2 linked regions of the Tamandua tetradactyla genome follow. The protein of the gene in region 2 interacts with the protein of the main gene of each other region in a biochemical or structural test. Links are inferred from orthologs where the notes say so. Each region holds a gene or a part of one and is shown on either strand. Other genes may lie near its edges.

What was found.
Region 1: the proteins of CRY2 (region 2) and FBXL3 form a complex in vitro, tested with the Homo sapiens proteins (2 studies listed by BioGRID, with this or other methods). The link is inferred for Tamandua tetradactyla from reciprocal best matches to the Homo sapiens genes CRY2 and FBXL3.

The regions. Positions count from the first base shown.
Region 1 is NC_135330.1:144,768,979-144,777,847, forward strand, and holds the start of FBXL3 (F-box/LRR-repeat protein 3), read right to left. Parts: upstream 3,403-8,869; 5' UTR 3,299-3,402; coding exon 3,273-3,298; intron 2,985-3,272; exon of another isoform or gene 2,965-2,984; intron 1-2,964. UniProt on the Homo sapiens protein: Substrate-recognition component of the SCF(FBXL3) E3 ubiquitin ligase complex involved in circadian rhythm function. Plays a key role in the maintenance of both the speed and the robustness of the circadian clock oscillation.
Region 2 is NC_135334.1:122,493,732-122,502,159, reverse strand, and holds the start of CRY2 (cryptochrome-2), read right to left. Parts: upstream 3,435-8,428; 5' UTR 3,426-3,434; coding exon 3,211-3,425; intron 1-3,210. UniProt on the Homo sapiens protein: Transcriptional repressor which forms a core component of the circadian clock.

The sequences.
Region 1 (8,869 bases), on a different chromosome or scaffold from region 2:
TATTACAATAACTAAGAGTGGGCCATAGGATTACTGGTGATTCTTTTTTGTCAGTGTGCTTTTCCTTTCTATATTTTACACATTTCTTTTAACATCTGTTGTTTTGTAATCAGATTTTTAAAAAAGGCCTTGTTTTTTGTTGTTGTTGGAAAGTATGTATTGCAGCCTCTGAATTAAATGGGGTAACTACAGATCATTCACTAGTACCCATTTAGTTTACAGCCTGCAATACTTCTGTTTCTAGAGAGCTAATCTAAGTAAGTGGTCGTTTGAACCTAGACTTGGGATCATGGCCTTTCAAAAGAATGGCCTATAGTTCCAACTCCCTTCTTCTGGCACATGAAGGTATGAAAATTTCTCTCTGGTTCCTGTGTGGGAAGAAGGACATGCATAAGAATAATCATAAACCGAACAGCTCTCTCCAGTAGCTAGCAAAACTTGTGAAAGAGGATTAGGAGCTGGAGAATAGAGGCAGAATGGCAAGAGGAGCCTGACCTCCATGCCATGAAAATGAGCCCAGGTCTTAGCATATGTACAATAAACTGCCTATGCCTCATTGCTCCTACTTCCAAGCATCTGAGTTAAGTGAAATAAATGATATATAGCCTACTGAGAAGACAGAGAGGATGGGAGAAAATAGAATAACAAAAATAATAGTTAACAGGGTACTTTTATGGAAAACTGAAACTTATTAACTTTTAACACATTTTGAAGTGATTTTAAACAAAGGTATAATCTACAATATAATCTTTAAAATTAAAAAAAAAAGAAGAAACCTCTCCTAGTAGTAATGTCCTACCAAAGGTTGAGATTACACTGTCATTATGACCCATTTTTCTGCTTTAACTTGTTTTAAAGTCATACTTTAATTTTAGCATATAAAATTTGGGCCAAAGAACTAAGCATTTGCTATTCAAAGCTTATAATTTTTCCTCTGACTACCTGAAACTACTCAGAATTTTAAAATACAAAGATTCATAACAGAATACAGCAATCTTGACAATTTCTACTCCTCATTATAGATTGCTGACCCCATTTTTTTGGAGAAAAGTCTTCTAAAACCAGAAATACTCTATTAAAAGCTGCAATTATTAGCCTTACTTTAGAATATATGGACATATAAACAAAAATGATACTGGGGTGGTGGTGATGATAGCACACCATGTGAGCATCTGTGAATGTAATTAGTATCACTGAATTGTGTACATGAAAGTAGTTAAAAGGGGAAATTTTAAGCCATGTATGTTTTATTATAATGAAAAATGTTTAAAACAATAAAGTACACTTTAAATGGGTGAAATGTATCATCAGTGAACTATATATCTCAAGAAAGCTGTTTAAAAAATAAACTGGTCATTCACACAATTATCTTTGGTAAAACTGCTGATCCTAACAATAGATACATTTGTTTATTTAGCCCTGTTTTCAAGTATATTTCAATACTTTTCCAAGTTGGGAGTAGGAGGGAAAAAAAAACCCAAAGTATTCAACACTAAGGTATAGTATTTCCATGTTCACCAAAGTATATTTTAAACATTGATTAGTTTATGAGTAGCTGAACAAAAATCTATCAATTGCCATATGTCATTGAACTACATTATATCATAATTAGGATCTTAACCTAGATTTAAAAAGCAAATCTACAAATATAAGGCTAAATGCAGACAAAAAACAATAATCTATTGTCTTCATTTATGCATGAAAATAAAAGGAGTGGGCATTTAATACAATTTTAAAATGCCAATTTTTCGTGCAAAAATTTACACTGCTTTCAAAAATATTTTATTTACTCTATCTGCACATGAAACTGCTGTATAGAAAATTAAACGATTCAGATCCACCAGTCTGCAAATAATTTATGTCAGTAAACTTATATATCTTCTACTTTTAGTCAAAGAGAAAACACCTTTTATATCTGAACAGGAGAGGGTAGGACAGATATGGACAATACACATCAATGAGACTTTCTTGAGCAACAAAATCAGGCCTCCGCAGAGCTGCTTAGGCAGTTTAATTTCACATTACAACTTTTGAGGCCCCAAATAATTAATTCAACTTATTAGAGCTTCTGATGAGTGAACGGACTGATATTATTGGGAACTGCCTCTCCCCCCAAAAAACCTAAGAGGAAAAACTACAAACTAGTTGAGCAGCAAAGAGAGCTACTGAAGTAACTAACAGTTCCATAAACTGACAGGAACAGTCAAATTACTCATCAAATAGATTTCAGCTCACCAGAGAACACGCTGCTGTATGCCCCTCATTGCATCAGCACTTTCACATATGCTGGATATGTAATAATTTTTAAAGCCCATCAGCAGTTAGCTCTTGAAAGCTAAATGCCTGTTTTTGCATCAAATCTCCTTTCCATTTTTGTTTTGCCTTGACTAATATCAAAATTAATATATATTCCTTGACTGGAATACAATAGAAAAGTGGAAACAGCATTAACTCTCAGAACTGGATGGTAGGGAGAACGTGGTGAACACATCCAGTAATCATATGTAGATCACTGGGAAGTTGATGGCATTTTTATAAACATTTCACGAATAGTAGAAGCTAACTTTTTTCAAGTTAAAAAGAAGATTCTAATTAAAAGACAGGCCACTCGGCGGACATCAACAAATTAATTAAATCTCTTTCAATTCTTAACTCGGAGATGCAAGCCAGTCATTTGATGGGCTGCTTTCTGAGCACTATCTGCAGTTCCACCTAAAAAGGCTGTTCACGCGAAAAGGAAGCACAATGCTGCTCAGCACAAGCTGACCAAGTTTTCCACTTGGCTACGCGGCGGGAGCGTCTCTGCCTCCCTCCGCCACCTCCACGGATTGGCTTTCCCTGATATAACTCCTGCCTCTACCCTTCAGTTCGTTTTGACATCCTAATCCCTGTAATTTCTCAAGCTACGAGCATTGGTGTAGCCGACGCCGAAAAGGAACTGGCGGGGCGCGAACCCCACAGTACCTGTCACCAAAGCCCGCCAAGCGCGGCAGGAGCTGCGGCGAGCTCCGCGGCGTCACGGGGAGGGCCGCACGCGACCGCCGCACAGGCACCACGCCTTGTTGACGTTTGGAAGCAGGCACCGCGGGGAAACGCCCCCAAACAGGCTCCAAGGTCTGGGAGCCGCGCCCGGCGCCCCGCCCGCAGCGTCCAAGGGGCGCTCCCCCGCACGCCGGGGACCCCGCGAACCCCGCCCATCAAGAAGAGGACTGCAGACCCTCCCCCGGCCCCGTCGTCGCAGCGGGGCTCCGGCCCTGCCCCTCCGCCGTTACCTGCTGCCGGGGGCGGCTTCCCCCATACACCACCCCGGGGTCCGGGGAGGAGGGCGGCGGCTGGTCCCGCGGCTCTCACATGAGGCCCCCCGGGAACCCCGCTTCGCGCTCCCGCCGCCGCGGCCCCCCGCGCTCCGCCCGCATCCGAGGCGCTGGTCCCCCGGCGGGCGCCAACGTGGCTCCACCTTTGCGGCTGTGGCTACCCAGGAGAAGTCTTCTTTTTCAGTCCCACGCCGACGCGACCCCCTTCCGGGTCCTTCCGCCACTGCGACAGACTCCCTCAGCGAGCTGCGGCCACCACGGAGCTGCCCAGCGTCTCAGCCCAGACACGGAGTCCAAAATGGCGCCTGCGGCTCACGGCCGCGCGCTTTCCCGGCGCGTCTCCCCCCGCGTGGGGCGGGTGCGCGCTGCGGAGGACGGTAGAGGAGCCGCGCCCAGCCGTAGCGTGCGCAGCCGGAGCCGGGTGTGCCTTCCCCGCGCGGCTGCGGGCTTCCAGCGCCTGGTTCCAGAGAGGCTGCCACCTTTATCTCCTCAGACGTGGCTCTTACTTTTAAAATTATTGCTAAAATAGGAAAGTTTAGGGAGGTGGTGCAAAAAGAAGAAAAGAGAAGTTTCGAGTCTGCTGTAACTCCGCAGCCGGTTCCCCTGGGCGGAAGGATAAACAGTGGCTGTTGACAGCTCGCTGAGATGGCCTTCGGGATGGCTACGCCTAGTGCCCCATAACCTAAGGGGTTAAAAATACAGGCTCTAAAAATATATACACGTAATATATGCATTAAATGTTTAAAACACTGCAAGGAAATATAACCGGATGGTTGCCGTATTAAGGGTGGGATTATAGATGATTTCTATTTAGGTAATTATTTTCTAAATCTTCCTAAAATGATTTTTTAATAGGAATTATTTGTTATTATTTCTATTTTAAAAACCATCTTTGTTTTTATGAGGTAAATAGGTTCCTGAGATTAGTAAATAGCTTTCTAAAATGGAACAGTCTCTAGCAGCTTATTAATGCAGCTGTACCTGAACTTCAATATTTTTTTAGGTCCCTTAGTGACTGGGTAACAATAGGACGTTCTAGGAAAGGCATTGCTAATTATTAGAAGAAGAAAGGCAAATAGGTCAAATTCAGGTCCATTTATTTGAAACTAGGTTAACAGCAAAACACTTCAACCAATCAAAAAACATAGCCAGTATATCACATTAAAACTCTCACCCTCCAAAAGTGGCCGCTTTTCACTTCCCCATTTTCCTCCTGAAGTAGAGGAGGACCTTAGCACACTTTGCATTTAAACCTCCCCTCTTTTTCCTGTTAGAGTTATTTAAATTTTTTATTTCACTTTTTTTCAGAAAGAAAACCTCTGCTTATTTATAAATCATTCAGTAATTACAGTTGTCCATTGTATCAGTCAACATCATTGGCACAGGGGTTGGAAAGGGTGACTGTGGAGTAGTTCCATCCAGGAGGGAGCAATATTTTATTATTGAACTTGTTTAGAATTGCAGGTGCATTATGATAATAAAAGCAGGACAACTTATAGTCAGTTTTGTTATTGTTTTTCAATTCTGTACAGAAAATGTACCCCTTCCTCTGGGAACAGAACGCTCCCAGGACCACTCCACCTAGGCACCCGCTGACCAGGAAAGACTAGGTTATGTGGCCGTAGTTCCTTATACACCATCTCAGACTTACCTGTTTTTGAGGAGTTTGACAGTTTTGAGGAAAGCTGATCTGGTATTTTGTAAAATGTTCTTCAATTAGGGTTTTTCTGATGTTTTTTTTCATAAGACCAGGGTTATGGGTGTTTGGGAAGGAGTCCACAGGGGTGAAATACCATTCTCATCCCATCACATCAGGCGCATGCTATCATCATGACTTAACCCTGTAGGTGTTAGCATTGATCAGGTGTTGAGGTCAACTTTCTCCACAGTAGATACTCTTTTCTTCCCCTTCTATGCTCTGTTTGTAAGGAACTCACTATGTCTAACCCATACTGGCGGGGTGGGGAATTATGCTCCTTAAACTATATGGGATTTTTCTACGTGGGAGGTTTGCTGCCGTATCTCTTAATTTCACAGTTATTTCTTTATTTTTCTATATTTAATTCTTTGTAGTTTTCTCAGAACTGTCTTACAATTCACTAATTCTCTTTTCAGTTCTATTCAGTATCTGCTTAACCCAGTCATTGCCTGTGTTTTTTATTTCTAAAAGTTTCATTTGGTTCTGTAAAACATCTGCATGATCTTTCTTGATGTTCTTTTCTCATGTTTTAAATTCTTCTCTTATTTTTCTGTAATCTTTTTAGTCATATTAAGTAATCAGGGGTCTAATCTAGATACGTGTCAGTGTTTGCTCATGATGGGTTGTCCTTAATGTATTCTATGATTTTGAATTGTGAATTCATCCTTTGTGATGCTTTAATTCTAGAAATCTTGTGCAACCTGGTTGAGTGCACGTCATTCCAGAGAGGTTTTTTAGTTTGCTTTTGCCGGTAGCTTCAGGCTATTACTAGCCAGGAACAATTTTTATAATAATTTCTTAATTTTGGGTTACTTAAGTTATAAAGAGAGTATAAATTCAAATTCCAACCTGTGTGAGGGTAGGCCCGTGGTTATGAATTCTCAAAAAGGCTTTCTTCCAGTGATATAAGTCTCCCTGGCAATATGGGCAGGACTTCCAGGGATAAGCCTGGCCCTGGTACTGTGGGATTGACAATGCCTACCTGGCTAAAACGGGGAGAAGAAATGTAAAATAAGTAAGATATCAGTGGCTAAGAGATTTCAAATAGAGTTGAGAAGCTATTCTGGAGGTTACTCTTATGCAAACTGCAGCTAGATAATAATAATTGTCATAGCCCTGTAAATCCTCAAGAGTACCCAGTGCTCTGAGATTCTATGAAAGTTTCACTCACTATTTTTCAGAAACCTATAACTTTCAGATGGTTCCTAGGCCAGAAAAGCCCAGAAACCTAGTTACCAGTTTCTCCAAGACCATCAACCATCTGCATACTCCTACCCCATAATGTCGGCACCCCTTTTAAACATGAAGAAGAATGACCATTGCCCAAATATCCCTAAAGAGTGGGAGAAGGGAAGTTCTTCCATGAGAGCTTGGCAGTGTAGAAGCTCTTTGTCTACAACCTAACCACTAGAGAGTGCCTGGGGCGCACCGCCAAGAGCTGCAGTTTGATCTTGCTTTTCTACCTAGTCTTCTATGGGCTCCTGGCTGCACTCTTCACATTCACAATGTGGGTTATGCTTCAGACTCTGAATGATAAGGTTCCAAAATACTGTGACCAGCTTCCTAGTCCAGGACTTATGGTTTTCCCAAAACCATTTACGGCATTGGAATATACAATCGGTTTGTCTGATTCAGATTCCTATAAAGCATACATTGAAGACATTACTAATCTTCTAAGGCCATATGATTTACAAGGACAGAAAAATGTCATGGTCTTCCCTGATGGAGTACTTTTTGAATAGAAAGGCCCAGATTATCATGCATGTCAGTTTGTTGATCACTTACTTGAAGCATTCAGTGGTATGAGAGATCCTGACTTTGGCTATTCCAAAGGAAAACCTTATATTCTTGTGAAAATGAACAGAATAATTGGATTAAAACCTGAAGGAGAACCAAGGATAATATGCATTCCCAAGGACGGAAACATGGCAGTTTTATTAAATTATCCTCACAGTGCAATTGTAGACTTAAAATATTTTCCATATTGTGGGAAAAAAAATGCACGTGGAATATTTAGCCAGTAGTTTCTGTCCAGCCAGGATTTGGCTCCAACAGTACCAAGAAAGAGATGATAGTTGAGTGCCAGATTGATGGGCCACCCAATCTAAAATGCCAGGATGATCACGACAAGTTTTTGAGACAAGTTGTGTTCAAAATTACAGTGAAGGCATAGTATAGTAGGATATTTTCACAGAATAAATTTTGTGTTGTCTTGTCTTCATTTTGTATCAGCTGGACCTGCCATTTTAGAATTATGAGACTACCTTGGAGAAAGTGGGTTGGTACATAACACTGGGGTAACATCATAATGTGCTTCCAGATCATAATATTCAGTGTGCTCCAAAGCTACTGCCTCTGCCGCCCTTTGACTAGTGTAAAGATGCTGTATTAGGGGCTGCTAAATGCCTGACTCAGAACATGTGTAATGGGGGTCTTGTCCTGGTTTTATGTGGTTTAATTGCCAGGTGTCTAAAACTTAATGCGCTATACTCTGTAAATATTTTATGGATTTAACACTGGTTAACTGTCGTATTTTGATGCCAACAACTTTTAGGGATAAAATGATAAAAGAATAAATGGTACCTGACCAGTATCAAGTGACTTTATAGCTGCAATAAATGTGGTTATGTAGACACCCCTGAGGTTCTGTATGTTGAGGAGGAAAAAAGAAAATAAAAAATGGGTTTGAAAGTGGAAAAAAAAAAAAAACAGTGGGAGTAGGATCATAGGAGAAGGAGGAGTTGTATCAGAGAAGATAGGATTTAACAAATGAATATGATTACTTAATCATTATATTGATATTCCTTTTTAGTCTCCAGTGTCTTAGGGCAGCTAGAAGTAAACACCTGAAATGGTGGAACTGTACCCCATACCATACACTGAAATTTGTTCTAAAGCTGCTCATTAAAATGTACTTTGAAATTTATCACTTTTATGTATAAATGTTAAATTTCACAGTAAAAACGTTTAAAAAGACCTTCTTTTTAAAACCAGATCCCATTCAAAGACATATTAGTTTGTTGTTCATCTCTTTGTGTCCTAAGTTAAACATTTCTTAAGGAGGATGAAGATCTTCAAAATTCCTGCTTTATGCAGGGATTTCAGTTACAACTTCTCTTGCAAACTCATCTCTTGTCCTTATAGGGCATTAAAACCCAAGCCTTTATCTCTAAAAAGATTCCTGTCCCACCAGTCCTTCTATTTTGGTCTTAAGGACTTTATGTTTGCTCTTCTCAATTCATCTCTTTACCTCTTATATATCTCTTCACCCTTTCATATTTTTGTTTCTTTCTTCCTCTTTGTTATATTACACTTCCAGTTCACTGATTTTTCCTTTGACTGTTTCCAGTCTAGAATTTATAGCAACTTATTAAATTTCTCATTCCCAACATTTATAATTTGTTTTGTCTCATATCCATCTAGTTTTAAATAATCATTTTAAATGAATTTTATGCCTTCTTTATCTCTGCAAGCACTCTAGATATTTTAATTTTGAGATTATTTATATATTTACTTTTTTTTAACTTTTTTTTAGCTTAACTATAGGCATATTTAAATAAAGTATCCAGATAATCATTGTAAAATCTGTGTTTGTGCAGTAAGTTTCATAAATCAATTTAAAATTAAGGCAACAAGGAAAAAATCTACAAATTCAGATAGCAAAGTTCTTAAATTCTAAATATGAAACAGTAACTTAAATACCATTTGATCAGCTGTCAAAATTGTGAATGTTCTCAAAATATCAAGTAGAAAGTTATTACAAATAACTACATTACTATAGTAATGACCTAAGTCACTAAATATTTTCCTGATTTCAGAATGGATATCTTAGCTAGCTTATCCATACACATATTTA
Region 2 (8,428 bases):
CAGTGAAATAACAAGTGGGAACAGCTCAGAGAAACTCGAATTTCCCCGCCAGCAGCCCATAGCTCTCGACCCTCTTCTCGCTGACCAGGTTCTAAAAGAAAAGAACGACTCAGAACAATCAACACTGTTTAGCTCCAAGCATGTGGAAGGATAAATCATTGGCTCCACCAGGCGCCCTGGAGAGTTCCCATTTCACCTCATTTACTAATTCTGAGTTATACTGACTGAGAGAGAACCCATTAAGTTTGTACACATTTCTACCAACTCCCTTTGTCCTACTAGCTCCTGAATGCAGATGCAGCACAGAGCTAGGGACAAGACGTTTTAAATAAAATGTGAGGAACATTGCTGCCAACACCTACCTAAGTTGCAGTAGGGAGAGAAAAGTAATGAAAACTGCAAGGGCCTATTTCAAGTATCTATTTTAAAATCTAGACACTGTCACATTTTCCTATTTTTTTTGTTTTGATTGTAGCACTTCCTTCCAGATGCAGCATATGTGGAGAAGGTAAGGCTGGGGAATATGGCAAAGCCAGCCACTTTAACAAAAAAACCTCCTGAGGTTCATATAGCTACAATTAACCACAAAGTCCCTACTACCCCCAAGTCAAGGAGTATGCTCGTCTGCCACCCCAATCAATAATATACATATTTCTGGTTGTTTTTCTCTATCTTCATTTACTCTCAGAGAGTGTCATTCATGGTTATTTTAATTTGATTTTATCTGCAGGAAAAAAACTGGGCAGAGGTCAGTACAGGCAGTACAGAAGGGTTACGGAGATCACATCCACCCCTTGCAGACGGCCTGGGCCCACCCTTCCTAGGGACGCTTCTCAAATACAGCAGCTCAGCAGTTACAGAGCTGGGACTGTCATGAAGCAGCACAATTCTCCCAAATTCAAAACCAGCCGCTGGAAGATGACAGACTGTAGCTCTGCGGATGTATGTGAGGCTTCGACACCCTCCCTGCCTCCAGCCGTGTGTGCATAACAGCGTGCACCACTGCCTCTCCCCAGACCCCGGGAGCACAGTGCGGCGGGGGTGGCAGGAGTACGCCTGTTTCCAGGGCCTCACGTTCTACCTGTTTTGTGCTATTTCACCTCTCTCATCTGAACGCCAAGCTAGTTAAGACGGCCTGCCAGTGCACTGCAACGCATCTGCCAGGGGGTCGGGCTCAGGTTTGTGGCTCTCTAGTTCAGTGGTTCTCAAGCTCAGTTGCATATGAGAGTTTTAAAAATGGCCTGCTGCCCAGGCCTTTTCCCAAAAAATTAGAATCGGGGGAGGGGATGGGGTAGGAGTGAGGGCCAGGCATCTTTTAAAGATCTTTAGGTGATTTCACTATGAAGCCAAGATTGAGAACTACTGCTCTAGCCCACCCACTATTTATTATTTTTTTTTTCATGGCACTTAGTTCTACTGAATTATGGTTGCTTACTTGTATTCCCTCCACTAAAATGTAGTTTCTCAGAGCCCCATGTCTGCTTGTTCACTGCTACATCCCTAGTAGTACCTAGGACTGTGTCTAGCAGATATTAGGCATTCATTAAGTAATTGCTCAATTAACATCTACATTCCTATAGGACCTCTGACTCCACAATTTTACTCAGGCATCTGAACTGCCACTTTCCTTTTTTCCCTCACTTGCTTAAAAGCACAATCACAAAGGGGTGACCCACAAAAATCCATAAACACCTAGTTTCCAGCAAATCTAAGTTTAATCAGCAACAGGGTTTTGTTTTTAATCTCCCCAACTACCACAAAGAAGTTGGTAGTTCTATGAAATATCTGGCAAAACCCAATAAAAGAAGAAACTCCTTGGTGACAATGTAACAAGCAGGGAGGGAGATTCTATTTACTCTGCTCTGACTGGCACACTGCCACAGGAGGGGGCAAAGTCTGAGGCCTGGTTCAATGACATCTCTACGGATGGTCATTTGAATATGTTTGTCAAACCCAACCTCCTATCTATAGAAACTGGAGCAGAGAGATCAATAGAGCAGACTGAAAACTGTGTGGGCAGCTTCTCCACGGGATTATCTTTAGTCATTCCCTCCATAAAAATGTGGCAGGAGGGGGCATTTATTAGACCCATTACTAGAGGCACTCATTCTCCCAGCAGAGCAAAACCTTGGTGCTGAAAGAACAGCGTGTTAAGAGCTAATGTTTCCTGGGACTAAAGCAGCTTAGGGACGCAGAAAGGCCACAAGCAGAACCACCCCCCACCCCCCCACCCCCCCACCCGGCCCCAACGATGCGAACAAACCAAGAAACTGCTCCGCGGTGTGTTAAAGAGAGCTGGGTACGTGATGTCTCAAAACTCCTCGGTTTTGGATACTAGTACAGAGATAAAACACCAGCTCCCTATCTGTTAATCCTTTCCTCATGACCCTGTCAATGCATCTCCTGGGAGTCCTCTCAGGAGGGGCCCTCCTGTTCCCAAAACTTAGCACGGCAGCGCATATTAGTCTAACCTGTAATGGCTCGAGTGTCCTTTAAAACCAACGCATGAGAAGAGGAAGAAGGGGGTGATGCCTTGTTTGGTTCTTATTTTAGAGCAAGCTCGCGGCTGCTAGGGAATTCTCCAAAATGAGAGAAGTACTGCTCCAGGACGCAGGTACAAAGGACACCTCTGGGTTGTCATGATCGTGCAGGACCAGCATCTCTAGACAACCCCAGATGTCGATGTGGAGGGGAAGGCAGGATGGGACTCGGAGAACCCGGGGTTTAGGGATGACCTTCAGGAGCCTCAGATCCTACTAGAGAAATCCGCCCTGCCGTCACACCGCGCAGATCTTCTTTCCTGCCCTCCCCGGCACACCCGGAAGAGCCCGGGGGCAGGAGGCCCCGCTGTGCCTTCCCCTCGCTGCACGTCCTTGGCAGGTCAGCCTCGCTTTCCTAGGGCGCAGGGGTGTCAGCTGGGCTGGAGGAACACAGGTGTCCCGCGGGACACAGTGCGGCGCACAGGGGCCACCGCACCCGCGACAGCGCTGGGTCAGAGGCTACGCCCTCGCCCACCGGCGCGCGAACGAGCGCCCTAAGGCGACCCCGGCCCGGCTTCTCGCCCTTGGAGACCCGCTCCGTCTCCCTGCCCACCTCCCTCAGGCCGGGGTCTTCCCGCCGCGGTCGGGGCAAAGCCTCCTGGTCCGAGGGCGCCCCCGGAGCCCCGGCCGCGCGCCCCGGCCCGCGCCCCCGCCCCGGGCCCCCCCTCACCTCCACCGGTTGATCCCGACTGACGAGGAGGCCGCGAACCAAGGATCGAGGATGTACACGCAGCGCACGCAGCGCGCCCCGCGCACCGCCGCCAACAGCGCCGGGTTGTCGTGGAGTCGCAGCCCCTTGCGGAACCAGTGAACCGAGGAGGCGCCATCCGCGCCCAGCGCCGGTGCCGGGGCCGCCGCGCCCGCCATCGCCCCAGCCGCCGCCATCACCGCCGCGTCTGCGCCGGCCCCGCCGCTCCGCCCCGAGCGGCCCCTCGGGCCCCGCCCCCAGCCCGCCCATGGACCCATGACGCCGCCGCGCCTCTCGGCGGCCCGCCCCTCGGGCCCCGGAGCCGCTCTGCCATTGGCTGGGCACCTCCCGATTGGCCCCCGCGGCGCCGAGCCGGCCCCGCCCCCTCACGTTCCCGCCATGTGTGGGCCGGCCCGGGAGGGGCCGCGGGCCGCGCGGGTGACGCAGGCGGCTGTCCCTGCGGAGGCCGGGGCGGGGCCCGCGTCGCCAGGGGCAGCGCCGCGCTCTCTCGCCGCTTGCGGCAGGCCGTTGGCTGCTGCGGTTGCAGGCCCTAGTCCGGACTTCAGGACTGCCGGGCCGCCGTCCTCCTCGCCGCCCAGTGGCGTCTGTGTGCCGGCCGCGCGGTCTGGTCTTCCCGCGACGGTCCGGTTTCCCGCTCGCGCTCGGCAGATCCCGGGAAGGAACTGTCATTAGCTCCTTTTACAGATGAGGAAACAGGCTGCTGCACGGCGAGTGCCTTGCTGGAGATCATAAAGCTGAAACGGGAAGCCACCGCGTGGTTCTCACTCCCGAGCTTCTTTTGAGCTCCGAGTCCTGCTCCTAAGCTTCCGCCGGTGCTGGGCTGCTGGCTGCTTGCATTTGCCAGGGGCGGGTCCAGGCAGGGGCGGGGGGGCCTGATAATGCAGTAGCGGAGGGGCTGGGGCAGGTGATGGGGAGGACGTGGGCTGAGAGAGTCGTGGGGCCGTCAGATGAACTTATTTGCTTTTAGTTTTATATTTAGTAGACTGAAAGCACCATTGTGTGCAAAGCACAGTTTTGGGTTTTGTGTGGGATTCAGAGATGTGGCCCACTGCCCCAGACCTCTTCTGAGAAGCCACGTGGCCCTCTTGGCTTCTGGAGTCTGGCACAGGACTTGCTGATTGCCTGACTGAATGAATGGTAAGATAAGTATGTAAAGACCCCCAAGAGAGTGTTCAGGGTGGGCTAGGATGGGGCTCTGGGGTTATCTGGTAGAGAGCACTCTGTTTCAGCCACACTCCGGGTGATGTCCGTGCCGGGAGCCCTTCTTGAACTTGGGAATAAGGGATGGAGGAACTTGACTCAGCAATTTAGTGGCATCAGTTTGCACTGCTCTATAAACCAGAATGTCCATTGCAATCCTGGGCTTTCATTTCCAGGGTTTTGCACAAAGCTCTTCCCTCATCCTGGATCACACACACACACGCACACACACACACAATTCCAGGTTGTCCTGTGTCATTGCTCGCTACATATGTCAGCTTCTGTCTGGCCCCAGCCTGCACAGTGTCCCAACTCCTGCGCTTATTACTGGCCTTAGCACATGGTACTGGAATTTCTCATTTACTTGTCTGGCTGAATTAGACGTAAGCTCCTGAGAGCAAGGGCAGTGGCATCTTTACAGTTGTCTTTCCAGGGTCTAACTCAGTGCTTGGTCTAATGTAATGCTTGAGGATTAGTTCAATAGAAGGGATTATAATGACACTAAATAAGTGTCTGCCACTGTTATTCTGAATGGTAGCATCCATGTCTGATTTTATGTCCTTGCAATACTTAGCCCCGAGTCTTATATGTCCTGAGTGCTTCTTAAGTTGCTGAGTGAATAAAAGATTTTCCTACGTTAAAACAAGTGCTCACAATTATTCCAATAATGTTCAAAAGAAAACCATCAGCACTACCACAGCAACGGCAGAGGTAAATAATGGGGAAGGGGCAACAGTTAAGAGAAGGTTTAGATTTCCTATTTGGTGAGGGTGTCTTTATTGATTTTCTTTCTCTTGGGAACAATGAAATTATCTAAAATTGAGAATGTTGATGGACTGTGGACTTTGGGCTCTCTACATGATGCCTGATGAATGCAGGTGGCTGAAGGATGCACTGACAGAGAAGTAGATTAACGATGGTGTATACTTAAGAATGAAGGCTGTGCTGCTATAAAAAGGAACAAAGTCGTGAGGCATGCTATGATGTGAGTGGACATGTGGGACATTTGGTGAGACAAAATAAGCCAGAAACAAAAAAACAACAACGTTATGGCCTCCTACAGAAAATGCTAAGAAAACAGGGGCCTAGATTGTAAGCTTTTAGAGCAGACACATTAAGTCCGGAATGGTGATTATTTCTGGATTTTGAGAGGCTGTTTTATATATATAACCTGATATTTAGAGATAAGAATGAAGCCGAACAGGTTTGGGTTAAAGTAATTCAGAACATGGGTTAAGGAAGACAGTGTCTGTTGTGGTAGTTAGGTTCAGGTGTCAACTTGGCCAGGTGAAGGTGCCTAGTGCTATGCTGTGGACATGAGTGAATGGTACATGAACCTCGTCTGTTCCTGATTACACCTGCAGTCACCTAGGAGGCGAGCCTGCTGCAATGAATGACATTTGATTTAATTGGCTGGTGCTTAAATGAGAGACTCAACGTAGCACAGCCCAAGCAGCTCAGCATACCTCCTCTTTGCCCTGGAGGTTTTCAGAACGGTTTGGGTCTAGTGACCCCTGTGTTCCTTCCAATTTCTCCCTATGGAAATGAAAACCTGTATCCTGTGAATGTCCTCCTTTGCATGTTGGCTCCAGATCATTTGTTTTTGAGATTCATAGGTCCACAACTAGAAGAGAATTTCTTGCACCTTAATATTCTTTAAGGTGATGCATATAGTTGCCAAGTTGACAAGGGGTGGACATGTGGTAGTTAGAGGCAGTTGTCAACTTGGCCAGGTGAAGGTGCCTAGTTATATTGCTGTGGACATGAGCCGATGACATGTGAACCTCATTTGTTGCTGATTACATCTGCAGTTGGCTAGGAGGCGTGCCTGCTGCAATGAATGCAACATAGCACAGTCAAGCAGCTCAGCATACCTCATCTCAGCACTCGCAGCTCAGCCCAGGCCTTTGGAGATGCAGAAAGGAATCACCCTGGAAAAGTTGTTGGAAAGAAGGCCAGCAGAGATCGCCCTGTGCCTTCCCACGTAAGAAATAACCTCAGTGGAAAGTTAGCTGCCTTTGCTCTGAAGAACTATACGGTTTTCAACTAAATAAATCCCCTTTTATCAAAAGCCCATCCATCTCGGGTGTGTTGCATTCTGGCAGCATTGGTAGACTAAGAACATCTATATTTTAGAACCACACGTACTCTTTGGAGCAATGGAAGAAAGGTTTATTTGATCTGGAACAAATGTTCTGTAGTGCATAATCTAATTCAACGTATCTGTATAGCTCATTTGAACCATTGAAACACAGGGAGCACAGAATAAGAAAGAGGTCTTTTAATCCTGTATAGATTATTGTAATGCCTGGAAACATCCTAGAGTATATTAAGCAGATAACCAAAAAGTATTGGCAAAGTTCCCTGAGGGAGGAGAGAAAGACCATTAAACCTTACCATCAGGGAATCCCCTGATACTGTGTCAAACTTCAGGGATATCCAAATCAATAGGCCATGCCCTCGGTCATGAGGCTTACTCTTGTGAAGCTTATGTAGGGAGCGGAGAAGCTTAGACTACCTATAGGCATACCTGAGAGTTACTTCTGGAGGACCTCTGTTGTTGCTCAGATGTGGCCTCAGTCTCTCTAAGCCCAACTCTGCAAGTGAAATCATTGCCCTCCCCTCTAAGTGGGGCATGACATCCAGGTGTGAAAGTCTCCCTGGCAACGTGGTAGAGGACTCCCAGGGATGAATCCAGACCTGGCACTGTGGGATCAACAATTCCATCCTGATCAAAAGGGAAAAAAGAAGTGTAATTAATAAAGTACCAGTGGCAGACAGAGTCCAAATAGATTTGAGAGACTACTCTGGAGGTTGCTCTTTTGCAAGCTTCAGGTAGACCTTGCTACCTGTCATAACCTGACAACCCCCAACCAGGACCATTCCAGCCAATCCTAAAGAACACCTAGGGCAATATATAAGATTCCACAAGGGTTCCAGGCACTAGAGTAACTTTCCAGAAACGTACAACCTGCAAATGGGTCCCTGGTCCAGATAAGTCCTGAAAACTAACCCAGCCTCTCCAGAACATCAGATAGTTCCATCTCCCTACCCCATATTAGTGACAGACCCTTCCAATATAAAAAATTTAAAATTGCCATAGCCCAAACAACCCTAAAGAGAAGGATGGAAAGATCAAAAGTGATGGTGGAGTTATATAGAGAATATAGGATTTAACAAATGAATATGAATGCTGAATCATTAAACTGATATCTGTTTTAGTCTCCAGTATTTTAAAGCAGCTAGAAGTAAAAACCTAAAATTGTAGAATTGTAATGCATTTCAAACTCTGAAATCTGTTCTACAACTAATTGTTGCAGTGTGCTTTGAAACTTATAGCTTTTTTGTATATATGTTATTTTTTCCCAAAAAAGAAAAAGTGATGATAAAGAATATAGATATACTCCTTCTAACCTCCAGTGTTCTGGAGCAACTAGAAGGAAAAATCTGAAATGACAAACTCTGGGATCTGTCCTGTAACCACTTGTTAAATAGTGCTTTGAAAACTATTGCTTTTTTATTTCTTTAATTTGTAGATATGTTATACTATACAATAAAAGTTATTTTTTTAAAAAGTCAGTAGATGAACCTCTCCATTAAGTACATTTTCAGTCCTTTCCCACCAGCCTTGGAAGAAAAATCTCAAAAACATATCTCATTAAAAGTTAAAAAAAAAATCTCATAAAGAAGGGGCAGGTCCAGCCAGATGGGCCCTCCTTCTGACACTGTCTTTCTCATATTTTTAGCTATACTAAACCCTTGAAACTATACCTAATTTGAAGGAAAAGCCTGAGAAAAGTGGATTCAAATCTTATGGGTCACTGACTCCTCATCTTCTAGTTTTCTAGACACTAAATTTAAATAAAGCCCCAATAAGTGACAATTAAAAAAATTATACCAGCAATGGAAGTCAACGAGAAGTAATTACTATCAATTCCAGAAACCTAACAAATCAATTATTTTAATTTTCGTGTTGCCT